Linked DNA regions of Mus musculus. The protein of the gene in region 6 interacts with the protein of the main gene of each other region in a biochemical or structural test. Links are inferred from orthologs where the notes say so. Each region holds a gene or a part of one and is shown on either strand. Other genes may lie near its edges. The genes, in order: Cldn7, Cldn8, Cgn, Jam2, Cldn1, Tjp1 and Jam3.

What was found.
Region 1: the proteins of Tjp1 (region 6) and Cldn7 form a complex in vitro, tested with the Homo sapiens proteins (2 studies listed by BioGRID and IntAct, with this or other methods). The link is inferred for Mus musculus from reciprocal best matches to the Homo sapiens genes TJP1 and CLDN7.
Region 2: the proteins of Tjp1 (region 6) and Cldn8 form a complex in vitro, tested with the Homo sapiens proteins (2 studies listed by BioGRID and IntAct, with this or other methods). The link is inferred for Mus musculus from reciprocal best matches to the Homo sapiens genes TJP1 and CLDN8.
Region 3: the proteins of Tjp1 (region 6) and Cgn form a complex in vitro, tested with the Homo sapiens proteins (2 studies listed by BioGRID and IntAct, with this or other methods). The link is inferred for Mus musculus from reciprocal best matches to the Homo sapiens genes TJP1 and CGN.
Region 4: the proteins of Tjp1 (region 6) and Jam2 form a complex in vitro, tested with the Homo sapiens proteins (2 studies listed by BioGRID and IntAct, with this or other methods). The link is inferred for Mus musculus from reciprocal best matches to the Homo sapiens genes TJP1 and JAM2.
Region 5: the proteins of Tjp1 (region 6) and Cldn1 form a complex in vitro, tested with the Homo sapiens proteins (2 studies listed by BioGRID and IntAct, with this or other methods). The link is inferred for Mus musculus from reciprocal best matches to the Homo sapiens genes TJP1 and CLDN1.
Region 7: the proteins of Tjp1 (region 6) and Jam3 form a complex in vitro, tested with the Homo sapiens proteins (2 studies listed by BioGRID and IntAct, with this or other methods). The link is inferred for Mus musculus from reciprocal best matches to the Homo sapiens genes TJP1 and JAM3.

What each region holds. Positions count from the first base shown.
Region 1 is NC_000077.6:69,963,992-69,968,238, reverse strand, and holds Cldn7 (claudin-7 precursor), read right to left. Parts: upstream 2,819-4,247; 5' UTR 2,313-2,818; coding exon 2,090-2,312; intron 1,297-2,089; coding exon 1,132-1,296; intron 1,020-1,131; coding exon 935-1,019; intron 685-934; coding exon 522-684; 3' UTR 353-521; downstream 1-352. UniProt on the Homo sapiens protein: Plays a major role in tight junction-specific obliteration of the intercellular space.
Region 2 is NC_000082.6:88,560,289-88,564,458, forward strand, and holds Cldn8 (claudin-8), read right to left. Parts: upstream 2,896-4,170; 5' UTR 2,748-2,895; coding exon 2,070-2,747; 3' UTR 538-2,069; downstream 1-537.
Region 3 is NC_000069.6:94,765,949-94,769,607, reverse strand, and holds part of Cgn (cingulin), read left to right. Parts: intron 1-190; coding exon 191-448; intron 449-2,320; coding exon 2,321-2,491; intron 2,492-3,659. UniProt on the Homo sapiens protein: Probably plays a role in the formation and regulation of the tight junction (TJ) paracellular permeability barrier.
Region 4 is NC_000082.6:84,772,775-84,776,944, reverse strand, and holds the start of Jam2 (junctional adhesion molecule B precursor), read right to left. Parts: upstream 2,823-4,170; 5' UTR 2,459-2,822; coding exon 2,392-2,458; intron 1-2,391. UniProt on the Homo sapiens protein: Junctional adhesion protein that mediates heterotypic cell-cell interactions with its cognate receptor JAM3 to regulate different cellular processes. Plays a role in homing and mobilization of hematopoietic stem and progenitor cells within the bone marrow.
Region 5 is NC_000082.6:26,361,796-26,365,454, forward strand, and holds part of Cldn1 (claudin-1), read right to left. Parts: intron 1,440-3,659; coding exon 1,275-1,439; intron 1-1,274.
Region 6 is NC_000073.6:65,368,441-65,372,882, forward strand, and holds the start of Tjp1 (tight junction protein ZO-1), read right to left. Parts: upstream 2,805-4,442; 5' UTR 2,397-2,804; coding exon 2,370-2,396; intron 1-2,369. UniProt on the Homo sapiens protein: TJP1, TJP2, and TJP3 are closely related scaffolding proteins that link tight junction (TJ) transmembrane proteins such as claudins, junctional adhesion molecules, and occludin to the actin cytoskeleton.
Region 7 is NC_000075.6:27,100,072-27,103,499, forward strand, and holds part of Jam3 (junctional adhesion molecule C precursor), read right to left. Parts: intron 1,946-3,428; coding exon 1,793-1,945; intron 1,370-1,792; coding exon 1,167-1,369; intron 112-1,166; coding exon 12-111; intron 1-11. UniProt on the Homo sapiens protein: Junctional adhesion protein that mediates heterotypic cell-cell interactions with its cognate receptor JAM2 to regulate different cellular processes. Plays a role in homing and mobilization of hematopoietic stem and progenitor cells within the bone marrow.

The DNA.
Region 1 (4,247 bases), on a different chromosome or scaffold from region 6:
GTGTGTCAATCAAAACCTCTGGTAATGCTTAAACAAGAGCAGATGTTGGGGATGATGAGATAGCAACAGGAAAAGGTACTTGCCACATTCCCAATGACCTTAATTCAGTCCCTGAACTCACTGCCCTACACATACCCACCTATATACCACTAGGCCACACAATAATAATCAGTGGGGAAAAGTTTGGAGGAGAGTGGGTAAGAACCTTGAGACTAGAGCTGAGGCAATAGGCCCAAGGAGGTAGGGACCCCAGGCCTGGAGACACCACTGGTACCACATGCTGCTGTAAGTTGCTTTAGTTCCAAGTCCTGTGCAAGGATCTGGGTCTGGAGAAAAAGCGGCCTGGAAAGACCTAATTTCCAAAACTTAATTTTATTTCTGTACAAAAGCACACCCCATGTCTTCCTCTCCCAGTAACCCCCCAACTGCCCTCCCCCCAAGCAAACTATACATGATGTTTGGAGGTGGAGTGGCCAGGAGGCCTTTGCCTCCCACCCTGCCCGCAGGCTGGGCTCCCCAGCTCACACGTATTCCTTGGAGGAATTGGACTTGGGGTAAGAGCGGGGTGCTCGGTACGCAGCTTTGCTTTCACTGCCTGGACAGGAGCAAGAGAGCAGGGCACCTCCCAGAAGGACCAGAGCAGACCCTGCCCAGCCGATAAAGATGGCAGGTCCAAACTCGTACCTGTAGGGAGAAAAGATTGGAGTCAAAACGGACCTGATGTCTCCCAAGTCCACATAATCTTTTTGTTTGTTCTTTCAAGACAGGGTTTCTCTGTGTAGCCTTGGCTGTCCTGGAACTCACTTTGTAGACCAGGCTGGCCTCGAACTCAGAGATCCGCCTGCCTCTGTCTCCCAAGTACTGGGATTAAAGGCGTGTGCTACCACGCCCAGCATAATCTGGTTCTTACTGGTTCTTTAGACTGGAGACTTACTTAACGTTCATGGGCGTCAAGGGGTTATAAAAGTCTGTGACAATCTGATGACCAATCCAGGAACATGCTACCAAGGCAGCAAGACCTAGAAAGAGAAAGAAGATTCTGGTATTGGGTGTCCAGACCAAGATCTTGACTATGCTCTTCTGGGTGAAAGACTGAGCCCCTTGGTCCCACCCTGGACCCTTGAGGCTCACCTGCCACAATGAAAACAATGCCTCCAGTCATAGCTATTCGGGCCTTCTTCGCTTTGTCATCTCCCCCACAGCGTGTGCACTTCATGCCCATCGTGGCGACAAACATGGCTAAGAAGCCCAACACCAGGGACACCACCATTAAGGCTCGAGTGGCCTGCAGGGCTCCTGCAGGGGAGGAAGGCGGCGGTCATTGCTGGAAATGGCAGGTAGCCTTAGGATGGCGCCAGCCTTAGTGCTGCAGACCGCGCCCACTAACCCCTGGACCGTGGTCCGCCTGTCTGGTTCCGCCGGCAGCCTGGGGCCCCCTAGTCCAAGGCAGGCCTTGTGCAGACGGTTCCCGCCCCCATCCCGCCACCAAGTCCTTTCCGCTCCCCGCCCCGCCCTGCGCTCCAGAACCCGCCCGGGGCGCCAAGGTTTCGATGAAACCGTTCCAGGTAGGGGGGAAGGGAGAAAGGGGGCGAAAGAGAAGTGCAGGTGGCGGCTAAGGCCCTCGCTCCAGCCACACCAGCCGGCGCGTGTCCTAGCTTTGGCCCCGCTATCGAGGCCACCGAGTTTGTGGCTTCAGCTAATCGGCCGATAAGATTAGAGGCCACAAGTACGGTCCCACGTCTAACGAGGGCACGATTCCGCGGCCCTGAGAACCTCCGTCCCTCTTCTCCTTTTGTCCAGAGAAAGAAGCAGGGGAAGAGAGAGACCACTGACTGCCAGGGGTTGGGGGGTGCTTCGCCCAGGAAACCCCCCCAAAAAAAATCTGGGCAGAGGGGCGTGGACCCACGTGGGACACCCAGATCAGATCCCAGGCACGCTCTCTCTCTGTCCCACCGACTGAGCCCAAGGCGTCCACTTCCTCCTCCCTGGCAACCCCGGGCGCCGGGCAGTGCGGCCTGGGCCCTGCCCCACACCCAACCCGGCCACCTTGACCCTGGGCACGTCCGCCCCGTCGGTCCCACGGCCTTACCCGGCAGGGCGAGCACCGAGTCGTACATTTTGCAGCTCATCATGCCGGTGCTCTGCGTGACGCACTCCATCCAGAGCCCCTTGTACATGGCCTGGGCTGTGATGATGTTGTCGCCCGCATAGGAGCTCATCTGCCACTGAGGGATGGCAGTGCTCGCTATCAGGCCCACCCAGCCAAGCATGGCCATTGAAAAGCCCAGCAGTTGCAGGCCCGAGTTGGCCATTTCCTTGTCTCAGAAAAGACGGGACGCGCCGGGAGGGCGACCCTACAGTAAAGCAAAAAAACAAAAAAACAAAAATCCGGGGAGCAGCAACACAAGAAAATTTGGATAGAGATTTAAGTCACCCAAAGGAGAAAAAGATTTTTTTTTGGACCGGGTAACTACAAATCTTGTTAACCGAGGTAAACACAAATCGTCCCCTCCGGTGAAGCGACACTCTCACAGCAGAGGGAACCGGCTTCGCCCGAAGGACTGGTTCCAGACAAAAGCGGTCCCCGAAGGCCGGGCGGTTCCTACCGGCGTGCTCCGAGACTACCCAAAGAAGTGGAGGGGCCGTTAGGGCGTGGCCCCCAGAAAGTATGCGGGCCCTTGGGCCCCAGGCTGCGGTGCGCGGCACAGGGAGCTGGCGGTGCGGCGGCAGGTGCGGGCGAGCAGGTGCGGCGCACCTGAGTATATATATGCAGGACGTCGGGGACGCGCCCCCGCAGGCACCCGGAGCGCTGCAACTTGGGCGGGACCAGAGGGGCAGTCGAGTGACCTGACGTCACTGAAGGGACACTCACCTGAACCGGAAGTCTTGGCCCCTACCCCCTCCTCGTCCAGGTGAAGAGGAAGAAACCTGAGCTCCAGGGTCACGCCCCTTCATTTGCCTGGCTCTAACCGTTGATGGGAAATAGGCGACGGCTTCTCAGAAGTCCCTGGGGTCGGAGTCTGCCCTGCAGACTCCAAGTGGCCCCTTCCTCTCCTTTCCATACAGGTGCGCCTGGGTCGCTGCGGAGCCAGTACCCTCAGACGCCCCTGGAAAGGCTCCTCGCCATCCTTCCCCTGCAGGTTTCGGCGCGTGCCACTTGTCCAGCCCGACTTTCGTCTCCACTCTCAGCTCTTTTTTTCTTTAGTCTCCTACCAAGGCCTGTCTCATCATCAGGGGCCCTAACCCATTACGGTAAAATCACCCGTGCTGCATGCACCCTTCTAGGAATTTCTACTCTCAGACAGTCTAGCAACCTACCGCTTCACCGCTCAAGCCCTCCACAAGACACGGCTCTCCGACAGTCCTCCCACAGGCCTGGTCCCAGGACCAGGTAGGTACAGGACTTAGCACCTGAGCCTGTCAGTGTCTCCTCCAACATAGAGGCTCCTTCTACCCGAAGGAGTTTTCCGAGGGTGGGGAGAAGGGTAAGACCTAGGTCAGAGAGTCTGACACGACACGCCCAACATTCCCCTCCCCAGGTTGTCATTTCTGGTTTACCTTCATTTTCCTCACTTCCTTCTCCATCCACACACTTTCTCTTTCCTTCATTCTGAGCTTCCGGGGACCTGTTTGTGTGCCCTTTCGGTGCCCTCCGACCCACTCTAGCATCTTAATTCATCCCTTAGAAAGTCTAGCTTAAGGCTGGGGAGATGGCTCAGGGGTTAAGAGCACTGACTGCTCTTCCAAAGGTCCTGAGTTCAAGTCCCAGTAAACACATGGTGGCTCACAACCATCCATAATGAGATCTTGACACCCTCTTCTGGTGTGTCTGAAGACAGCTACAGTGTATTTAAATATAATAATAAAATCTTAAAAAAAAAAATAGAAAGCCTAGCTCAGCCTCCACTCCTTCCAGCTTTCCCAGAACTTTGACCATCCTTCCTCCCAGCTTGGCTTCTAAGGTTCTCATTTATCTTTCCCCTTTTCCTGCCTTCTGCATTTTTATTCACCCCCCCCAACACACACACACACACACACACACACACACACACACACACACACACTTCCAGACTAAGGTTGCTCCCTCCAGACCCTTGGAGCCCAGTAGCCCAGTGTGTCCATCACTGCCCCCCTGAACTCTTTCTAGTTCTTTCTTCCAGTCTACCTCTCCTACAACCTCCTTCCACCTCTCAGACCTTCACAGGTCTTTCTTCCTTTTGCTAGTTTTTTGGTTTTTTATTTACGTT
Region 2 (4,170 bases), on a different chromosome or scaffold from region 6:
AAAATACAATTTCTTGTGAGAAGAAATGGGATTATATTTAAGGTAGAACGTGAAGAAGACACTTCAGAAACACCAAAGAAGTGGTCCTAATCCCTTACATTCTGATTTAGTGGGGGAGGGGACGAAGAAAATATGAATGGTGTCTGTGACACTTAGGGCAACTACGTATTTGTTGCTTACAGACTTATACAGACTTTCTTGTATAAGATGGCTGTCTGGATTTTTGTCTAGGCCATTTTGTTAGTCCTTGTTTGTTTCTTCTCCTAGCAACTGTTTTGCCCCAAAGAGGCAAAGTTGCCCAGGATGTAGAGTGACATCACCCACACGGGAGCGAGAACTAAGCTTTTCCAGCTAACAGTACTTGAACCTTTAATTCCACATACAGAGATTGCTTTATAAACTAGATCCCCCAGAGCGTCATGAGCACTTGCTGAGGGGTTCTGCAGTGTCATCTCTTATGTTTTCTGCCAGTATCACTGGCTATCACCCAACTATTTTTTAAGGTTCTCCCATTTATAAATTAAAACTACTACAATATTAGTATTGCAAACGTTTAATAATATCCTTCACATAAATATGATGTATATTCCCAAGTCATTTCAGCACTGCTTTTAGTTCATATGAATTCTCAGGAGTTGAAATACATATGGACAACATCTTTTAAAACATGATTACATACACAGTATTTACAACAAACACATTTCATTGGACCTAAGTGCAATTTAATATTATTCATATATTAATCAAATATTAGTGCATATGTGAGGTCATTATAAAGTACGTGGATTTTAAATCATACATTACAAAAGTGAACACAATATCTATGTTCAAACTAAAAGAGTCAATACCAAGTTTTAAACACTTGCACAAGGTAAAGAAAAAGAATGAAGATGCAAGAAATGCTATATTGTTATGAGATACAATTTATCAATATAAAAGTCATATATATGAAACTTAGAATAACAGTTGTCTCAAATTAGGAGGAAACACAGAGTGATACTACACTTCAATAGAACTTAGCAAAGGCATAGAAAATGGGGAAATCCCTTCAACAGAAGAGAAATGATAAGTTTGAGTGTCAGGAGTTAGAAGGGGACAAGCTTTTGGATTTGGAGGGTTTGTGTCTCTCTTTGGGTTAATAAAATGACAATGAAAATGTCCTTCTTTCTCCCTCATATATACTGATAAGTTCCTAAAAAAAAGAAAGAAAAAACTATGCAAAAATAGCATTTGAACAATCCCTTGCATGATATGACTTCATTTCAAAAACAATACATTCTTCTCTAAACAGAAAAGCTAATGATTTCATTTTTCTGAAATCATTAATTTTTCTAAGACCACTGCTTAGCCTTACAAAAGTAGTCTAAAGGAAAAAAAAATATTTTGCCAAAACATCTGCTTTAAACTTTAAGAGATAGTAGGCAACAGAAAATTAAGGCGTGTAGAGGGAAAGGATAAAGGTGACGGAATTTCTTACTCCTCGAGGCTGCAAAGCAGGATAGCAGAAAGCCTTACACTAATGATTAAAGCCTTCATTTTAACCTTCACTACAAATAGAGTGCACTAATCCTTAAGCTGTTTTTAGGCAATTAATATCAGCCTCCTTCTCTTTTATCCCCAGGCCCCCTGAAATGCAATAGCTGAGTTCTATTTATTCAGCGTGATGGATTGGCATTCCACTTTAAATAGAACCACATAAGCCTGTCTCTATTTGTGTGAGATATAACTGCCACCCGCATCTACTTGGATAATGTCATGACACAGAGAAATCACAGCTTAAGCCAACAGTCTTTCGATGTGCAGGTTTAGAGTGACTGATAAAAAGGAAGAGCTGAGTGAACCATTTTAGAAAACAAATGGCTAGGCTTTCTAGAACAATCGAAGCAGTGCACATAATACCTCATTCTGCTAAAATCACTTATGGAAACATAGACGCTGCATATTTCCTCTAATGAGTGCTAGGCAGTTAAGAAAGGTAAATGGATACAGTGTGGGCTCCATTTCTCTAAAATAGTGGCTGGTTTGGTGATTTATAAAAGCTTAGCTACGGCTAAAATATACACACACAACTACACATACTGACTTTTGGAGTATATGCTCGGAGATCTCTTTTCGGCGTGGAAACTCCGTTGAGTGGTGCGATGGGATGGTACCGAGTACCTGTAACTGTTGCTCCTTTCAGTACAACAAAACACACAACAGAACAGTGCTCCTCCAGCGATCAGCACCAGCGCTGTGGTCCAGCCTATGTAGAGGGCTTCTCCCAGCTCGCGCTTTAGGGCCACATCCACCAGTGGGTTGTAGAAGTCTCTGATGATGGAATTGGCAACCCAGCTGACAGGGATGAGCACAACCAAGCCGGTGATGAAGAAGATGATTCCGGCTGTCAGCAAGATGCGGCTCTTCACGTTCTCATCGTCCCCCGTGCATCTGGTGCACTTCATTCCGAGGATGGCTGTCATGAAAGCCAAGAAAGCCAAGACGGACGCAGCACACATCAGTCCTCGGGATGCCTGGAGGTCTGGACTAAGAGCCAGCAGGGAGTCGTAGACCTTGCACTGCATTCTGATGTTGGCATGCCTCATACAATTCATCCACAAGCCTTCCCAGCGGTTCTCAAACACCACAATGTTACTTTCGATGAAGGCAGACACTCTCCACTGAGGCATGATAGTCACAGCCACCGTGCCCACCATGCCAACACCACCAAGCACCAGTGCAGCCATTTGAAGAGCGTAGGTTGCCATCGTCCTCCCAAATTGTATCCAGCTGGAACGCTGACCCGGGAAGTAGGGCTTCCTTTCAAGCAGAAATCTGTACGCCTTGGGAGGGAGGGAACAGTTCTCCTGTAGAAATGTGCTCACAACACAGAGCTTAGCCCTCTCTGGCCAGATCAAATCTAGTGCTGGCTGGTGACACAACCCCCTCTTCTCTCCCCCCCCCCCCCTTTGGCTCCAACAGTAAACTTGCAAATCAGGTGTGGCAACTTTCTTAGCCAATAAGAGGGGGATGGGAGCTCAGGTGTGTCTAAACCAACTCAGGATACCTGGGAAAGCTGGGCTTGCAAATAAACATTCTTTGTACTTCTCTATTTTCTAAGAAGACAGCAGTATGTTTACCTAGAGGCATAATTATGAATGTTTGCACAATCAGCAAGGAGAGCCAGTCTCTCCCAGTTAAAAGAGGCACTGCTCTTTTCAGAGGTGAATCCTGCCCCTAAGCTGTTCTGACTGAGGTTGCAGTAAAACCTCTTCCAAGGGATTGGACAGGGATGACTCTAGGGCCAAGTTAAAGGAGAATGAAGGATGGATAGATTGTTCATACTGGGGAAACCACATTCTTGTTGGGACACGTGACCTGAAGTGTTGATTTAATTTGTCTAAAACTTCAAAAGCAAGCTCTCCTGCAGTGGGTTCAGCCAGTAGCACACTGCCAAGAGCCAACGCTAGACTGAAGCAACTTCTTAACCAGGTTGCTTTCCCCATTGCCACTAACTGTGTGTAATTGGGTGTCGGGGTTGGGGAGGGGGGAAGCTATCTGTTAGCATTTGTTTTCCTGAAAATACTGATTTATAATGAAGAGTGCAAAACACACCAAAAGAAAAGCCAGGTGGCTTTGTGAAGACGGAATCCCTAACTTAATGCTTAAATGAGGTCTTCTGTAGTTGCTAAAGTAGAGGCCTTTTTTCTAGCCCCTACTTCCTGCTCCATCTTCTAGTCTGAAGAAAAGGGAATTCTGGATGGATAGTGTGCAAGAAAGTCCCAGGTCTCTGCAAATAGCTGGCATTTTAAGTAACATCTTCATCGAAAATTATATTAAATGTTAATCAAAATTATCTTCCCTACCTATGGGGACATGTGTTATGCAAATAGACTTGGTGGCTCCTTGTAAGGCAATGTGAACTGTCTTTGCAAACTGACAATTGAACTGCTACTGGAATCAGCACCCACACTGACTGGCAAAGCTCCACTAGAAATTTCGTGTGGGAGGCCGTCCTTTGCTTTCTGCCCTGTATCCCCAAACTTCAAGCTATTTTTTGGCATACACATTTAAAAGTTACATTTTTTTTTTAAAAGATCTTAGATTGCCGTTGAGGATAGCTTGAGATATAGCATGCAGCACTAACTGGCCTCAAACCCTTCTATGTCCTCCTGCCTTAGCATCTTAAAT
Region 3 (3,659 bases), on a different chromosome or scaffold from region 6:
ATGTAATCCCTCCTGGCCTGGAACTCACTATGCAGACCAGTGAGGTCGGCCTGTGTCAGCCTCACAAGTTCTAGGACTAGAGATGTGTGTCACCACACCCAACATTACCTTTTTCATCTTCCTATCTCCAATGCTTCAGCCTGAGTTTTCCTTTCTCTCAGCCCAGCCTTCCTCCTCTCCCGCCTCCCAGGTAGAGAAACAGCAGCTGGAAGAGGCTTTGAATGCTGCCCGGGAGGAGGAGGGGAACCTGGCAGCAGCCAAGCGGGCTCTGGAGGTCCGGCTAGATGAGGCCCAGCGGGGGCTGGCACGCCTTGGGCAGGAACAGCAAGCACTGAACCGGGCCCTAGAGGAAGAGGGGAAGCAGCGGGAGGCTCTCCGGAGGAGCAAGGCAGAGTTGGAGGAGCAGAAGCGTTTGCTGAACAGGACTGTAGACCGACTCAACAAAGAGGTGAATATGGGTAGTGTGGCCCCTTAGGAAGGGGTGCGAGCCCTACAGAAGCTAACCCTGGAGGTGGGTCAGGATGTATGGCACTACTTTTTCTCAGATAGGATTGGACCAAATTTTTCTTTTTTAAAAAAGTTTTAAACTTTACTATTACTGTTATCTTGTTTGTTTGCTTTTTGGTTGGTTTTGTTTTGTTTTGTTTGTTTGTTTGTTTGTTTGTTTTTTCTGAGACAGGGCTTCTCTGTGTAACCTTGACTGTCCTAGAAGTCATTATATAGACCACAGCCTGGCTTTGAATTTACAGAGATCCACCTGCCTCTGCCTCCCATGTGCTGAAATTAAGGAAGGGCGTGTGCCACCATGCTTGGTCCTTATGATATATCTGTCTATGTGGGGGCTTATATGTGTGCATATGAGTGAGTACGGTACCCCAGGAGGTCAGAAGAGGACATCAAGCTCCCCGGAGCTAGAGTTACAGGCAGTTTTGAGCTGCCCGATATGAGTGCTAGAAACTGAACTCAGGTCCTGGAAGAGCAGTATGTACTCTTTTTTGCATTCATTAATTGATTTATTCACTTCAATCCTGATGGCAGCCCCATCTCTCCTCCTAGTGCTCCTCTCACACAGCCCCTTCTGCCATCCCTTCTTCTGAGAAGAGGGAAGAAGGGGAGGTCTCCCCTGGATACCAACCCACCCTGGCACCTCAAATCACTGCAGGACTAGACACATCCTCTCCCACTGAAACTAGACAAGGCAGTCTAGTAAGGATCTACAGGCAGGGGGAAAAGTCAGGGTGAGCCCTGGCTCCAGTTGTTGGGGGACCCACATAAAGACCAAGTTGCACATCTGCTGCATATGTTTGTGGTGGGGAGAAGCCTATGTATGCTCTTTGGTTGGTCAGTCTCTGGGTGCCCCCAAGGGTCCAAGTTAATTGATTCTATTGGGAGTCCCTATCTCCTCTGGGTTCCTCAGTCCTTCCCCCAACTCTTCCATAAGAGTCCCTTTGTGGACTTTATCTAATGTTTGTCTATGGGTATTTGCATCTGTTTTGGTCAGCTGCTGGGTGGAGCCTCTGAGAGGACAGTTATGCTAGGCTCCTGTCTACAAGCAAGACAGACTATCATTAATACTGTCAGGGATTGGTGCTTGCCCATGGTATGGGTCTCAAGTTGGGCCCCTCATTGATTGATCATTCTCTCAGTTTCTGCTCCATCTTTGTCCTTGGATTTCTTATAGGCAGGACATATTTTGGGTGGAAGGTTTTGTGGGTGGGTTGATGTTCTTATCCCTCCAATGAGAGTCCTGCCTGGCTATAGGATGTGGCTACTTCAGGCTCTGTATCCCCTTCTGCTAGGCGTCTCAGCTAAAGTCACTTGAATAGACTCCTCAGAGACTCCCCATCCCAGGTTTCTGGCATTAGTAAAGATTTAAATTGCAGGAAGAGCCAAAGAGACACAGTAACTGAGGGTTTGTGGTAGTTTAGTCGGCAGATTTTCTATCTTAGAAGTACGTCTTATAACTTGAGTTTGCAGAAATGTGGTCATTGAAGATTTACTTAGTATCAGCCACTTTATAGGTATTTTAAATCATTAACATAATTCAGTATCAACTCAGCAATGTAGGTGCTGTTATTATCTCATTTTATAGACAGGAAAATGAGATCAGAGATGATAAGTAAGGGCTAAAACTCCAACGTCCAGAATTTGAATATATAACGATTAGCCATTCCAGGGATCTAGACCAGGCAAGCTAGAGACAGCTGCTTGGCAGAGCGGAAGCTCATGGGAGACTCTTGGAAGCTGGGTCTAGAGAAGGGACTGAACATTTGTTACAGAGGTGCAGTGCTGACAGAAACCTTTTCCCTCTGCGTTTTAGCTGGAGCAGATTGGGGATGACTCCAAGCTAGCCCTGCAGCAGCTCCAGGCTCAGATGGAAGATTACAAGGAAAAGGCCCGGAAGGAAGTAGCTGATGCCCAGCGTCAGGCCAAGGATTGGGCCAGTGAGGCTGAAAAGAATTCAGGGGGGCTGAGCCGGCTTCAGGATGAGGTAGGAACGTAGACAACAGGAGCCTGTCCATGGCTTTGAAAGTCTTTGCCTTCTCACTGAACCTATGGCTGGAGTGCTAGGCCCCAGACTCATGTGGAACCACAGAAGAGGGCATCCATCTCTAGAGCAGCATCCTTCTCTAGAACAGCATCCATCTCTAGAGCAGCATCCCTCTCTAGAGCAGCATCCCTCTCTAGAGCAGCATCCCTCTCTAGAGCAGCATCCCTCTCTAGAGCAGCATCCCTCTCTAGAGCAGCATCCCTCTCTAGAGCAGCATCCCTCTCTAGAGCAGCATCCCTCTCTAGAGCAGCATCCCTCTCTAGAGCAGCATCCCTCTCTAGAGCAGCATCCCTCTCTAGAGCAGCATCCCTCTCTAGAACAGCATCCATCTCTAGAGCAGCATCCCTCTCTAGAGCAGCATCCCTCTCTAGAGCAGCATCCCTCTCTAGAGCAGCATCCCTCTCTAGAGCAGCATCCCTCTCTAGAGCAGCATCCCTCTCTAGAGCAGCATCCCTCTCTAGAGCAGCATCCCTCTCTAGAGCAGCATCCCTCTCTAGAGCAGCATCCCTCTCTAGAGCAGCATCCCTCTCTAGAACAGCATCCATCTCTAGAGCAGCATCCCTCTCTAGAGCAGCATCCCTCTCTAGAGCAGCATCCCTCTCTAGAGCAGCATCCCTCTCTAGATCAGCATCCCTCTCTAGAGCAGCATCCCTCTCTAGAGCAGCATCCCTCTCTAGAGCAGCATCCATCTCTAGAACGGCATCCTTTTCTAGAGCAGCATCCCTCTCTAGAGCAGCATCCCTCTCTAGAGCAGCATCCCTCTCTAGAGCAGCATCCCTCTCTAGAGCAGTGGCTTTCAACCTCTGCTGCACATTAAAGTCACCCAGAATGATTTTTTAAAATCTTTTTTGCTTTTTTTTTTCCTGCTTTTTTGAGACAGGATTTCTCTGTAACTCTGACTGTCCTAGAAATCAGAGATTGTGTGCCTGTCTCCCAAGTGCTGGGATTAAAGGCATGCACTGCCACTGCTACGCTGAGATGTTGAAAAATCTTAATTCTAAACATCATCTCATATTACATAGATATTAATTTGGGACCTAGAGCCAGTAGATATTTTTTTGTTTGTTTGCTTTGAGGTAGGGTCTTAACTATGGCTGGCTTTGAACTC
Region 4 (4,170 bases), on a different chromosome or scaffold from region 6:
ATTCCTATGTGTGTGTATATGTGCTCTGTGTATGTGCGCAAGCTTATACATGTGTGTTTATGTCATGTAAGTCCTCATTTCTAGCCCTTGCTTCCTACCTCTGAGACTGACTGTCGCCCTCATTCCTTGATAATTTTTGGAGATATTCTCACCATAATCCAGGCTGTCCTTGAATCCTTTGTGGCCTTGAATGGTCTGTCTGCCTCCTGCCCGCCTGCTGAGATTATAGTCATGTATCACCAACCAACCCAGCCTCTGTCCGTTAGTGTGAGCTGAAAATATCGACATTTCTTTAAAACAGTATAGTGTGGAATTGAGGATAGCACAGTAGGGAGCCCTTGCAGCAAGCTGACACACACTGCCTCCACCAGGCCAAGAAGGTTAAAAGCATAGTGACAGGTCATGTCCCCTGGATTAGGAGAGGATGAAAATGTCTTTCCTTTCTCTTCCTTCTTCCTCCAAAAACCCTATGACATCATTTAACCACAAATGAAGCATCTGAGATATACCAGTTGAAGGAAATTTAACAGCGTAATTAACCAGCACCTGTCAAGGTCATAAAAAACAAGGGGTGTCTGAAATACTGCCACAGCCAAGAGGAGCATAAAGGAAGAAGACCGTTAATCCAAATGTGGTATCCCGGGACAGAAAAGGACATTCCATAAGAATGAGGAAGATCTAAGCAGAGTATCCCATGTGACACTATATAATAATAAGACTGTAATGGTGGTAACTGGGTATAGAGTATATGGGAACTATCTATGCTAATGTCCCCTTTCTTTACAGCTGAATTGTTTTTGAAAGTTTTAAATGTGTTAAAAGGGAAGAAAACACGCTTGAAATGCCAGACCTTCTGGCACTGAGGGAACAGTATGAGAAAGGTCCCGTGCTGCTTCCCAACTTCTTCCTTACAGGTATCAGAGTTAGTGGAGCCTGCCGATAACCTAGATATGGAAGAACTCATTCTACACATTCAGTATTAGCCTTCGCTGGCTTCTGGATTGACTACGCTGGAATGACAAACGGCATCTATTGTTTCTATTTTGATGACAGAATGGGAATAACAGAGAAAAACTATTTTATTTTTAAATGACTCCTGTTAAAGTGAGACTTAAAAGCTCAGAGGAACACAGAACTTTTCACCTTAACTTTTTGTTTTTTTAGTTACGCTACCTCCAGATTCCAGCTTCGTCGCTGATTTTCATACTCAGTACATTACCTCTCAAACCCTAAGTGTTCCGTTTGATACCAGCTGATATTTCAGCATGCATAAAGATTTCATTGCGAATGTCAACTTCCTGGCTTGATATATACCTCCCCCTGAGTCAGCAGGCACCCTGTTCGGGTTCTGAGCGGCAAATCGTTTTGTGAGCCCCCATCACTTTGGTCTGAGAAAAAGCCTCAGCGTTAGTGTTAAGACGTTCGTCGGGCAGAATAATTGAACTACTATTAAGTACTGTGACTAGAACTTGAACCTCAACAATAACACATTTACCCCTCCCTAGTGAAGAAACCAACAGAACAAAAGATAACAGGGAGGGGGAGGGTGTTTATCATCATCATCAACAACAACAACAACAACAACAACAAGGACTTCCTCACTTAAAAATAGATAGTAATTTCCTACCTTTTCCTAAAAAGTTAACGCGAAGAAAACAAAAATCAAATTTCAAATCACATTAGGCCAGCACCCGCGCAAATCCTCTTTCAAAGTACCCAGAGAAACTAAACTGGCTTTGGGACGCCTCCGCAGCTATGCCAGCTGCCAGCTCGCTCATTCATCGCCTGCGCCTTTCTAACAATCCTAACAGCCAGTCCCGCTGGCTGGACATCCCCTGAGGACACGGCAGCTGGCTGGAGCGGACAGACTTCTCTAAGCCGGTTTTGCAGGCGTAAAGGCGAAAAGCTACTGGGGCTCAGCTAATTTCACCCCGCTACCGCCTCTAAAGTGCTTTACCCAGCACCTTGCCCGGGGCAGCTGGGACCGTAACCACTGATCCCTCAGCCGCAGCTACTTAAGAGTGGCCTTCGCCAACCCCGGATGCCATCTTTCTTGGGCTCTTCGCATCTTGAATACTTAGAGAGTTTTGCATTCTGATCACGTCCCGGTGTCTTTGAAAACTTCCTCGGACTTTGCAAGGAGATGAGGATCGTCTGTTTTCTTCAATTCTTAACTGCCCAGATCCAACACTATTTACAAGACGCACAGGACTTCAGTCTCCCTGCCCAGAGCCTGCCCTCATCCAGATTACCCTCCGTGCTCCCAGACTGCAAAGCCTGGCGCCCCGAGACAGACCCCCTAGCACTGAGCGCCATGCCTGCAGGCGAGGGTCCCGGAGGCTGGTATAGCCAGACCGGAGGGTGGAAAGGACTGTTACCCCAGAGACTTACAGTCCAGGGCGACGATCAAGTAGTGTAGCAGCAGCAGCATCAGGAGGCCTTGGGGGCTCCTCGCCATCTACGCGGGCGCCAGCTGGCTGCCTAGCTGAGGGTCCCCCTGCAGGAGCGCGACAGGCGGCTGGGTCTCCCAGCACTTCGCCCGGCGGCGGAGCAGAGGAGGTCCCTGAGAGGTGGAAGCAGAGGGGCGGGTCCTGTCCCGATGTCAGTCTCTCCGGTCTGGGGTGTCTCCAGCGACTGTCGTGGGGGCAGGTCTTCTGGCCCTAGGACGTGGTGTCTGGGACAGTCCTTCTTTTGAAGGGTGGAAGAGGGTTGAGGGGAGGGCGTGGACGCGGGACGCGGTGTCCGCAGGGTCCTAAGCGAGTGGCGGCAGAGGACTAGCCTCTTGAGGGAGAACCCTGCAGGTCGGCCCCCCGCCCCCAGACTGATCCGCTTTGTGTCTAGTCCCGCGCTAGGCTGCCAGCTGTCCCCAGGGCGAGGAGCTGGGGGCAGGAGGAGCGCAGCCGGGTGGGATGGGCAGGGTGTGTGTGTGTTGGGAGCGGTAGTGGCTCGGTCTGTCTCGCCATGTCTCTCCTCTTGGCGCAAAAAAACTTCCTTTTCAGTGTTTTGCCTAGCGTGGGAGATATTTTTTGGAAAATTTCTATCTAGCGGACAAAACCGCTGGCGAAGCGCTCTTAAAGTATAGGGGCATGAGCTCAGCCCCTGCCTCTAGAAAGGGGGGGTGGGGAGGGGCGGAGGGGGCGGGGGACAAAGGCATCACTCAAGTTGCAAGTCAGGTCCCAGATTTTATCATCAGGCTTAGCCTCTTCTGGCTTCAAGTCCGTCCTCCCCGTCCCCCCAACCCCTTAGAGAGTTAAGGTGTGTTCTGGGCTCTTGGCTTCTTAGTTGTCATCTGGAAGTTCATCTAACGGTGTGAAATATTTATCTTGTTTCTTCCCCGTTATGTAACTGCCGCCTGTGGAGTTTTCCACATGTTAAAACTCTACAGCTGCCCTTTTGTCAGGTTTATTTTTGGTCTCATGTGCTTTTAAAAGGGAAATCCATTATGAATGCTCCAGTGCGTGCTTTAAAATTGACCCGCACTTCGGAAGCGTGCACTTGCAAAGGCGATTTTCACATTTCCTCTCCAGAACTGATGGCTGGGGCATTCAAGAAAATTGACCCGTCTGTGTAAAGGCCGTTGTCAGGTGAAGACATTTTTTAAAATCGTTTTAAATAAAGCTAAATAATAAATAATTATGTGTAGAGGATGGCTGATTTAGTGGTGGACCACTTACAAAGAATTGAGCCAGCCTTGCGGACAAAGGCTTAAGATATACTTAGATATGCAGAGCTGTGAGGAATGAGGCATCCCCACTGTTGCCTGGGCAACAGTGATGAAAGCTTTGGCCCTCATGGGGAAGGGGAGGGGACAGAAGACCCCTGAGGGCAAGAAAAGCAAAGTTAAAAAAAAAAAAAAAAAAAAAGGCAAAAATGGAGCTGGTAGCCCAAACTCACAAACAGTAAGGGAGTAAGGGTGTCATCTAACTTAAGACTTAAGGCAAAAAAAAAAAAAAAAAAAAAAAAAGACTTAAGGCCTGTGCTCAGAGACAGGTTAAGTCAATTGTCCTTGACAATCCAATTAAAAGAGTCAAATTAGTCGTGAAAACTGAGAAGAGAAAGGGAGAGATATTGATTGATTGATTGATTGATTCGATATAGCCACATTGTAGAGTTCCAGTGAACCCCAAGTCTGTCTTTGGGGCCCTGAAGTGAGATAAAATACAGAGCCAA
Region 5 (3,659 bases), on a different chromosome or scaffold from region 6:
GGCAGAGACAGGCAGATCTCTGCTAGTTTGAAGCAAACCTGGAATACAGAATGAGTTTTAGGATGTCCTGGGCTACACAGAGAAACCCTATCTTAAAACTACCCTCCCCAAAAAAGTGAAAAGAAAAGAAATAAAGAAAAAAATGCTGGAGAGTGGATATAAAGTATTATTCCCCAAAAAGAGTATCTGACAAAAACATATATTAATCATTCTAATTTATTGTATACATATATATAATTTATTGTATATATTCTAATTTATTGTATATATATATATATATATATATATATATATATATATATATATATATATATATATATATATTTCAAAATACCACAATTTATATAATAACTGTTCGGAAAACTGACAAATCCAAAACAAATAACTTCTTTTATAGTACTTGACGGTACCAAAAAATCATTCTAGTTGACCATGCAAACTGATCATACATATGCTCTTGAACTGGTTAAGCAGACTTCTGAAGCCACCCCAGATACATGCCTATAGCACTTGTGAGAGTCGTGAGGATGGGTGTGGCGTGACACTACAGCCTTTGATGCAATCCTTGTAATGTTTCTTCCCTGCAACACCCAGCCTACGTTGTCAGAAGCTTTCAAATCCCTTTCTTTCTGTTCTGTTTTCTTCCTTAGCTCAGCTAACTTTATAGCCTACCTTGTTAATATTCCAAGCGTACTCATACTAAATTATCTTTTCTCTGGTCCATGGGTACATAGTGTTTGTTGTGAAATTAGCTCTGCCTATCTACAACGTTACCTCCTTCCAGTTTTCTCCACTAGGTCCAATCCCATCTTTCCCAATCCAATACCATTCACATATTATGTTTATTTTCTTGAGGCTGGCCTTGAACTCCACGTTTCCCTGTACTCATCTTTCTTATGCTAGGATCACAGCCATGAACCATCACACCCAAATAGCATTTTCTGAATCACATCAAATTGGTTCAGACTCTTTGGCTAAGTATCAAAATATCTTCTGAATCTGAATAGACTGGGCCAAGAGACTAGTAGGTACTTGAGCCCTTCATGGTTGTACTTGACAGAAGTGTACAGAGGTCAAATTCCCACTGGTTCTTAGTGAGAAGATGAAAGCCAACTGAATATAAGGCTCATGTCTTCAGATGGTAGAATATTTTTTTAAAGTTTCAGATTCAGTGAATAGAATATAAACCAAAGAAGCTAAAAGTTAGAAACCTTGATTTCAAACCACACTCTTTTGTGAAAAGTAGACAAGGGAGAAGGAGGAGCCTCTCTTACCTGAAATTAAAAATATTATGCCCCCAATGACAGCCATCCACATCTTCTGCACCTCATCATCTTCCAGGCACCTCATGCACTTCATGCCAATGGTGGACACAAAGATTGCGATCAGCCCCAGCAGGATGCCAATTACCATCAAGGCTCGGGTTGCCTGCAAAGTACCTGGTGGGAAAGATTCAGGACATGTCAAAACCATGCCTGGAGCAGTCACAGCACAGTGGTGGGAGATGAGATACGTTATTGTATTTAGGGGGGAAGGGATAAAAGTGAACAAGGTGCCCAAAGGAAAATGAACTCTAGTGACATTTCTGCCGTAGCCACTGGGACGGTTGCTAGGAGGATGCAAACCGAGAGTCAAGGATGGCTGCTACTTTAGTTATGAAGTCCAAAATCAACTGGAAAGTTATTAATGAATCAGTTGAATAGGTCTCACTGAGCTGAATATGTAACCATTACCATTGGGTAGTTAGAGTCTGAACTAACAGTCACACATATTATCCTTAATGGTCATCATTTGTAACTCTGGCTTAAAATACATATTTAGTACTAGTCACTAGTTTTAGACTACATTCTCTAGGCTTCAGAAACAAGTGACTATGGACAAGCAAATGAGGTTTTCAGGGGTGACCACGGCTAGATAAGTAATATTGTATCCCTAGTTACACGAGGTTGAGTAGGGGAAGGGTACAACTTTCTAGATTTTTAAGTTAAGGCAAAAATTTAAGAAGATAACTTGGAACATAGCAGTAGATTCATAGGAGATAGTACCAGTTTTTAAAACCACAAAAGCATACTACATAATGTTAGGGATAACCCCAGCTCGCATTTCTAAGGTTTCTGCAAATTTTCTAAAAGCCTCTTTCTTATCTGTGTTGTGTTAAATTATCACCAGAGACAGGATGAGATTTGAGAGACTGTGACAGTGTGTTTCCTAAGGAATAAAAGCCAACATTATGGTAAAAGAATAGTGTGTGTGTGTGTGTGTGTGTGTGTGTGTGTGTGTGTGTGTGTGCTGGAACCCTACTTAGAAGATGTTTAAATTATAAATTAATTTCCCCTTTCAACTGAACATCACTATACCACACTCTTAATAAGTGAAGTGGACGTTTTTTTTGTATGGAAACATTTACACTGCAAGCTATTAGGATCTTGAGAAAATTACCTACTATTTGGAACCATGCTTGTATTTTGTAAAATATAAGGGTGACCATCTCTATGCAGGGAGTTAGAACAATTTGCTCCTTCCTGGTCTTCAGGAGTGACTAGATGATGGTCTTCTCAATATTTAGTAGGTACACAGGGTTAGTCTCACATGTTCAAAATTGAGAAGTTAAGTTACCAATCTCAATTCAAAACAAACTTCTCTGGAATGCCACTACATTTTAACTTACAACCATTTCTATCCTTGTTATTACAGTCCATGACAGAATCACACAACGTCTTTCTAAGCAGTATCAAATGTATTTTCACAGCATTCCATGATATTTGGAAGCAATTTTTACTCTTTCATCAAAATACTAAAATGGTACACTCTCTCTTTTGGCATACTCTTTTGTTTATAAGTGTGCAACAAGAATATATAGACACACCTCTCTTGCACACTCATTACAAGGTTCCAGGGTAAGGAAGGAACTACTGGATCAGAGCCATGTTCCATGGCCCATGGCTTTACTAGGAACGGAAGCTGCTCATGTGACCATTAGAAAACTTTCCTTGGAGTCACCAACCATGCTGTGGTTTAAAGAGGAAAGTCCCAAGGACTCCCAGTTAAGGTGTACACTTCCTTCTGAGTTATCAACAGTATTTTGAACAGTACATGTTATTTCTTAGGAAAATAAACAACTAAATAATTATGTTCTTACAAAACAGATTTGATGTTTTGCTTAGATAGAAACCATTTTGGAAAGATGCTGCAGGCAATGATGAGATCTATGTGCCTGGAGGAGAGTGTGACCATTCATTCTTGCCTGTTTGCTAAGGATGCTTCGTATTTTAAGTAAAAAGTCTAGCATCCTAAGAAAGTCGTGGATCCCGAGTAAAATGGGCCAACTGGCTACCTAATAGATAAATGACAAATGGTAGGAAGTGAAATAAAGTAAATTTAGGTTGGCAGGAGGCATACATATACATATATATGGATATAGATATATAGATATATAGATATACACACACACATACCCATACTGATTCCCATATACATATATACATAGGAATACATATGTACATAAATATACATATACACATTACAATACATATACACACTATACACACACACACACACACACACACACACACACACATACATTATAGCTTTGTAGGCAGGGTCAGGAGTTCATAGTCTACTCCAAGTGTAATGAGAAGTCATTGGAGCATTCTGAGGCA
Region 6 (4,442 bases):
GAGACAGGGTTTCTCTGTGTAGCCTTGGCTGTCCTGGAACTCACTCCGTAAACCAGGCTGGCCTTGAACTCAGAAATTCGCCTGCCTCTTGCCTCCCAAATGCTGGGATTAAAGGTGTACGCCACCACGCCCGCTATCTTAGCTCATATTTAATGTTGATCACAATCACTAACAGCCCATAAATATGTTATTTCTGACTATGTGACTCCATTCTCTATTTTAAAGTACTCTGAATTTATAATAAATTGGGTTTTCTGAAAGGACTTTCTCCTTGCATTCATCTACGTGGTAAGATAAACATCTTCAGCTAACATGCTTTCTATACCACCACAATGGAACTCTCCTTAGAAGTCGCTGCACTTAACCATCAATTCAGGGACCATGGGTAAATCTATTGACTCTCGTCAGCCACAGAGTTTTATGGCACTGACTTGGATTTATGTCCTTCATCAAGATTCAGGCCAACTCACCAATATTTGCTGTGTTTATTCTTAGGTAAAGACTTTGGAGTAAGAGTTTGTGTATATCAGAATTTGAAACGCACTCTTTGGCATAGCAGTTTCACTTTTAATAAGCTGACATAGAGTAGCAGGTGTACAATACAAAAATGTAAATACAATTATATAAATTATACTCATTGCAATAACAATATCCTGGAAACAAGCCCAACAGCTCCATCCAAAAGGCAGTGATGACTGGAGCGGCATGGTGAAAACTACTCGACCTTACAAAGCTGGAGAATGAAAAGTACTGACGCACTCAAGTTCTACAACTGCTGTGCCAAAAACACAAGAGCAGGCTGCAAAACGAGTGTCTGTATGTCTTCACAGGGGTAGGAGAAACAAAAGCACCCTATGTAAAACAACCATGGAGCTGGAGCTTAAGCATTTTGGGTTCCCTGAGAACAATAAATGTGACTTAGGGAAGGAGGCAACTGGTTAACACTGCATTCACTAGCTCATTGAGGGAGGGCCTGGCTTTATGTAAGACTGCATCCAAGAAAATAACCCTTCAGTTCCCAGCTAAGGACGCAAATATTTAACTACAGAGGTGCCCCTATGTGCCATAAGATCTCAATACCATAATTTATGTGTAAAAGCACACCTTCTAAATCACCTTGCCACAGCAAGCTATTGGAAACACTTCTCTTGGAATAACACTTTCCAAGTGTGTTGTCTTGACTAACAAGTACCAGAGCTCACACTCTGAAACAAACTGACATTCTGTGTAATATGGCAACAAAGCCTTTCATCCCAGGAAAGGAAGTCCCAGCAAATGCAAATATCATCACTTATATTTTAAAAGTAACAAATGTTGCACTGATTCTAGTTTTTGGACCCAGTCTTTCTTTTAGATCTCTTATCAATGTTTGCTCAAAAAAAAAGATACAAACTAAATTACTCCTACAGGAGCAATACTCTATTCCTTAAAACAATCTATACTAAACCTTGTATCTGCCAAAGAAACAAGGTCCTGTCAAGAATTCAGAAATTTCCATCTATTCTCAAAGGTTATGATTAAGTATTTCAAATAGAAAACTACATAAAATCACCACCTGTTTAAGCTGTTTGAATAACGGATTGATTTTTCTCACACTGTATGTCTGTCATTGAAAAAGCAAGCACTTTAGGATTTTTTTTTAATTAAAACGTACAAAAGAAGGATTCTACTTCATCTTTAAGAATTTTAGCCTAATGTAATAATAATATAACACACTGTCAAGAAGCACACTTCAAAGCACACAGGAAAATAGGCAAGTTGTTTTGTGCAGAATTCACCGGGCTCTTTTGGTTTGCACCCATCTTACTGTCCATGTGTAGGGACACTTTGTGCTACTTCTGAAAGTTGAAATTAAAGTGCTTAAAAACTTTCCTCCTTCTGTGGCCTCACATAAATAATAAACCTCAAAATAAACCATAGCTACTCTAGAGCTGAGTGTTTTGCTGTCTCCAAGCTTTATCGCTGCCATTGCGCATACCGCAGCGGGTGACATCAGATCGAAACTATAGGGTTTCGTCGGGTACCAACCACTCCTCCAGAGCCAGCCCCGCGGCTACCCACCCACCCTCCTGCTGCAGCTGACACCCCCGGGTCTCCGCAGACACGCTCCCGGGACCTGAGAATCCTCACCCGGGGCGACTTTCCAGGCGCGGGACCTGTTGCACGTCGCCTCCCAGCGCGAGCCGGAGCCAGGCACCGGCAGCCGTGCACCTGCCCGGGCGGCAGGCGCACCCCCAGCCCGCCCTCCCGCCTTCCCTCACCGCCCCGCCGCGGTCGCCCCCGGCTGCCGCCGCGGGGAGGGCGGGGCGAGGCTCCCCCGCCGCCCCCCGCCGCCCAGCCCGCCGCCCGGCTGGCCGAGAGGTTCTCACCTTAGCGGCCGCGGCCCTGGCGGACATCTTGTCTCTCTCCGCGCCGCGCGAAGCTCCTCGGACCCGAAACTCCGCGCCGCCGGCCCGCCCGCTCCTCACGCCACCGTCCGCATAAACATCTCCCGGGGACGAGCGGGGCAGGGGCGGGGGAGGCCGGAAAGGCCCGGCCCACGGGGAGGGGATTCAAGTGGGACAAAAGTCCGGGAAGCGTCCGCCCCGCCCGGGCTTCTCCGCGGGGCACACCCGGCCGCCTGCTCGGCCTCCGCCGCCCTCCGCCGGCTCGCCGCTCCGCAGTACCCGGGCCTCCGGCTGTCCCCTACACCCTCGGGCGTCTCCTCCAAAGCCTGCTCCCGCACGTAACTTCCCCGGAACGCGCGGCCGCCGAGAGACGTGCCGTCGGCGGGCAGAGCCGTCGCGGGCAACTCAGGCGGCCACGCAAAACCTGCCGGACCGGGCCACTGAGCATGCCCAGCCGGCGGGGGCGGGGCCTCCGCGAGGGGCGGGGCCAGGCCGGGTCCGACCCCCGCGCGGAAGGAAAAGCTCGGCTACCCAAGTTACTTGCTAGGCGGTTTCCGCTGCCGCGCGATCCATCCTGTTTGTTTTTATCACAGATCCGGCAGAATTCGATTCACCCCCACCCCCGAGAACCCCAAACTCCTGTGTACTAAAGCTTTTTGACTCCCTACACAGACTTGTCTACTTTCTCCTCAACCAGCAACCCCAGATGGGCCCCACGCAGGAGTGTGACAATTAAGGTCGGCCTGGCCAATACCCAACTGTGGTTTCTTTAGCCTCGCAAGTAACAATGGTCACAACTGTCACCATGTGTCTCGGCACTGTTACCCCATTGGAGATATGTTTTTGTTTAAAGCACAACAGAAGCGTTCTAGAAGGCTCAGGACAAACCGACTGCCTTAAATAAACCAGGTACAAATCTGGACACTGAGATAATCCCAGCCCCCTTCTCCCGCCTCGCTAGACAGGGATCTCAATAGAATATTTTAGGCTATCAAGATTGCTGAAATTCTTGGCCCCTGAAGAGACAGAGCAGGCTGCCTGCCTTTCTAAACCAGAAAAGGATGTAAGGACACGCGGAATTCAACAAGTTCAATAGGCCACTGTGCAAACTTAGGCCAACTGTCTTGCTGAACCAAAAAAAAAAAAAAAAAAAAATTAGGTAGAAAACTATTTCGAGCTTCATTAATTTACATTCTGTATACTGCAAAGCTCTTAAGGAATATTAGAAAAATTTAGTAACATTAGATAACATCCTAAAGTACCTAGCATAGTGCTACAGTAGCCATACAAGGAAGAGGGAGACAGAAGCATCGGCTTTTAGACTATTGTTGTCTTTTGAGAATTCAACTATATGACCAATTTAAACCTAATTCTAACTTGGAAATATCCATACATGAAATGTAAACATCAATTAAGGTTTCAAAGTCAAGTATTTTGTAACTCTAAGCCAGCTGAACCAGAAAAGAGCATCGTGCAAACCAAACCCTGTTTCTCGGCATGTAGGAAAACAGTTAAAGTCAGTTTTGTTTTTTGTTTTGTTTTGTTTTAGTTGTGGTGTGTGTAGTTATTTCACAGGCAAAGTGTCCTGTGTTCTCTCAAAGGGGGTGATTAAATTTATCCTATGAGAAAACAGCATTATAAAAGACTTGGGTGTGCTGTGGCTGAGAAAGCGGTTCCTGAAGGACTTTCATACCAGGGAGGGCATTACCATTTAATAAGAGATGCACTCTGCAAACCTGCCTAGCAGTTTGATGCGCCTACTCCTTCCCTTTTCTCTTTGGTCAATCAGTTTATCAAGTCTATTATGTAAGCTAAATATTAGATCACTACATCGTGTCTACATCTAATTTACCTGATTGGTCTTATCTTGCCATGGCTTTAAAAAAAAAATGAAATCAAGGAAAACCATTTCACTTTCAGAACACTTTGCTTTAAAAAGTGTGTCAATTAAAAATTTCCAAATAATGTAACCATTCTTAAAATTTTTCCAGTGGTATTTTGAGTAACCAAATTAAATTATCTAACATGAACTATAAGCTGCACTAGGTAAGTTGA
Region 7 (3,428 bases), on a different chromosome or scaffold from region 6:
AAGTGACTCACAGACTTCCATGTCCTGCCCCTCACACCTGGCTGCACCTGCGTCATTGGAAGCAATGCAGTAGTACTGCCCAGAGTCGTCCTTGTGGACAGCATTGAAAACCTGTTTTAGAAATGACAAAGTGTTACTTCACTCAACAGGACAAACTGAGTGACAGACATCAAGGGTGACACCACACAGACGCCCCACTGAAGCCACAAAGCAGTCCGCTCACCAGCAGCTCTACTGTCCTCACCATTTCCCTCCTGCATCAGAGCTTCACAAGGAACTCCCTTCGGGATGCAGAGAGAGCAAAGCTGGGCAAAGCTAGGCTGCAAGCAGCCCACTTCACTGTCCCTCTGAAGTTCAAGGGATCCTAGCAGCTCTCCTTAGACAAATACCAATACCCTAGAATGAGTCACGATTCACCCAATCACTCCCTGAAGTTGGGTATTTCACAAACCAGGACGCCACCCTCCCTGCTGAGTGCCTCAAAGCCAGCATGTCCTTTGCAGATGGCCAAGCCATGCTGTTGCATTTTCTTCTCGCTCCCATGTGACCTCCTACCTCCCAGTGGGTTAGCCTTTTTTCTTTTTCTTTTTTTTTTAATTGTTTTTTGTTGTTGTTGTTTTGAGACAGAGTTTCTCTGTATAGCCTTGGCTGACCTGAAACTCACTCTGTAGACCAAGATGGCCTCAAACTCACAGAAATCCGCCTGCCTCCTGAGTGCTGGGACTAAAGGCACGTGATGCCAACCACCACCAGGCACCAGGAGTTATTCTGAAGCAAATTCAAGACATATTTAATCCATATCTCTTTATGATAAGGACTTAAGAACTATAATCACAATTCTGTTGATAATGGCTTAATATCAAACACCTGCCCAGTAAGCACATTTCCTTCACGTGGTGCATATGTTCCGTTGATTATTCAAACTAGGATTCTAATAACATGAACCCACTTGTTTACCTGCCCCCTGTTCTCATGCAGATGTACAGGTTTCCATTTTGTTTTACCCTTAACACTTGTTTATATGAAAGCCGAAGCCACCTTTCCTGTAGTGTTTCTGATGTTCTAGATTTTGCCTCTGCCTTGAAAAGGAGCCTCCCTGGCTCTCCTTCCAGGCATCCTAGGTTCCAACAAACGCATCTGCTTCCTCACCTTGGAAGGGCTCTTACCAGAGTGCCTGTCTCCGAGTTCACATGGAAAGAGGAATTCTGGAACCTGGGATTGGCTCTGGAATCTGTAGGCAGTGGCACATCATTGCGGTACCAGCTGTAGTGAGGCCGGGGATAGCCCTCGCTCTCTTGGCACTGCAGTGTTGCCGTCTTGCCTACAGGTACAGCGGCTGGAATTCTGCAGACAGGGGTCACTGGCTTCACTGCAGGCAAAATACGGGTTGGTGTTTAAAATCTCAGCACAAGCCCATCATACCAAAACCTAGCGTAATAAAGCAGCTCCGAAGGCCACAGCCCATCCACTGCCTGCACCCTGCTCACTCTGAGTTCATTCCAGCCCGTGTGTCCAATCTCACAGTCTCCAGTTCTTCCACCTTCAGGAGTAAGCTGAAAAGGAGGCTGCAAAGGCAGATCCCTGAGGCCGGTAAGGAACACAGCAGATGCGTGTTCTCATCATCCCAGCCCAACTCTAGACAGCCTCAGTGGCCCCCCTTCCAAACTGCAGATAGCCCCAGGAACACAGCCCTGGAGGAATGAATCGAAATATGAGCTAGTCTCTTATTCTAGAGCTAAGGGCTGACTCATAGGGCTGGCCAGTAGAGATGCTACACATTAATGGGGCCTACCTTGCACAATTAACTCAATGGTAATCTCATCAACTTCTTTTCGGTCATTTAGAGCAACGACCTCACAGCGATAGATGGCTGAATCCGATCGTGTCACATTCCAGATCCTCAGGGAAGTTTTTCCAAACACATCTGTGCGACCTGCCAGGTCTCCTATAAAAAAGAAGACACAAGATCCTAGACACTGGAAGACTGTGGGGCTGGACTTGATGGCAGAGCAAGAAGACTGCAGTACAGTGCTGTTTGTCCTGTCCCTCCCTGTATGAAAGACGTGATCTTCATGGGGACCAGGCCACTGACTTCTTCCCATGTGCAACCTGAGCATCAGAACTAGTATCTGGTAGTTAAGATAAAGCCAGGAACCTTATTTCTCCTTATTATTCCCAGGAGGAGAAAATTAATTCAAGGAAAAGTTAAGAAAGGAAAACCAAATAAATATTTACAAAACAAAGTCTACAAAGGATGTTGTGGCTATCCACATGAAAAAGAAGAAAGCTGACCCCTGGCTGCCTCCCTAGTCAACAAATACCCACTAGAGTTGAACAAGAGCTGGGCATTTATTTGCAACACTATAAGTTTATAGGAATGGAGTTTGAGGTTAGCCTAGGCAACACAGTTAACTGGAGGCCAGCCTGGGCAATATTAGCAAAAGTTTTTAGATTTGTTTCCTTTATATGGATGAGTGTTTTGCCTGCATGTATGTCTGTACAGCAGATATATGCCTGATGTCTGTGGAATCAAACCCAGGTCCTCTGCAAGAGCAGCCAGTGCCCTATCCACTGAGCCATCTCAGAAGGCATAATCTTCATGACCGTGGCTTCGGTGATGGTTCCTTAGATACGACAACAAAGACACAAGCACAAAAACTGGGGGTTATACTACATTCCATCAAGTCAACAGCGGCTCTGCTTTAAAGGAAGTAAGCAGCCGAGAAAGCAATCTACACCGTCTGTACCAGGGGTACGGACGACTCTGCAAGCCACGTCAGAAAAAGGACTTGCCTCTGCAATGTATGACTCTACAACTCAGTGGAAATGCACCTAACAGTTGATCAGGTTTCTCCCAAGACACTGCCCACTTTGCACATGGAGAGATGAAACTCCACTTGGATACCTTATACCCTCTAAGACTATTAAAATAAAGGTCAAATGATCACAAGTGTGTGTGTGACTATGGTGGAAGCACCGAAGCGTGAGTGTAAATGGAGAAGCCAGGGCTGGGCACATGGCTTGCTCAGTGATTAAGTCAATTACTGCTTTTAGAGGATCCAGGTTTGGTTCCCAGCAACCTATGTGGGTTCACAACCATACATAACTCCAATTCCATGGGAGCCAATGCCCTCTTCTGACCTCTGCACACTCAGCATGCAGATACAGTGCACAGACATATGCAGGCAAAAGACACAAAATTTAAAAAAAAATATATATATATATAAATATATATATATGGTGACGCTCCTTTGGAAAGCCGTCTCAAAAACTCACCATGTAGCCACCATGTGGCCCAGTAGTTGTGTACTTGGTCTTCACACAGAGATGAGTGCAGAATACTGATGACAGCCAGTGTAAACTCAGCATCTGAACATCACCTGATGCGTGCTCAAAGCAGCATGGCGCCCACACAGTGACCAGGGACC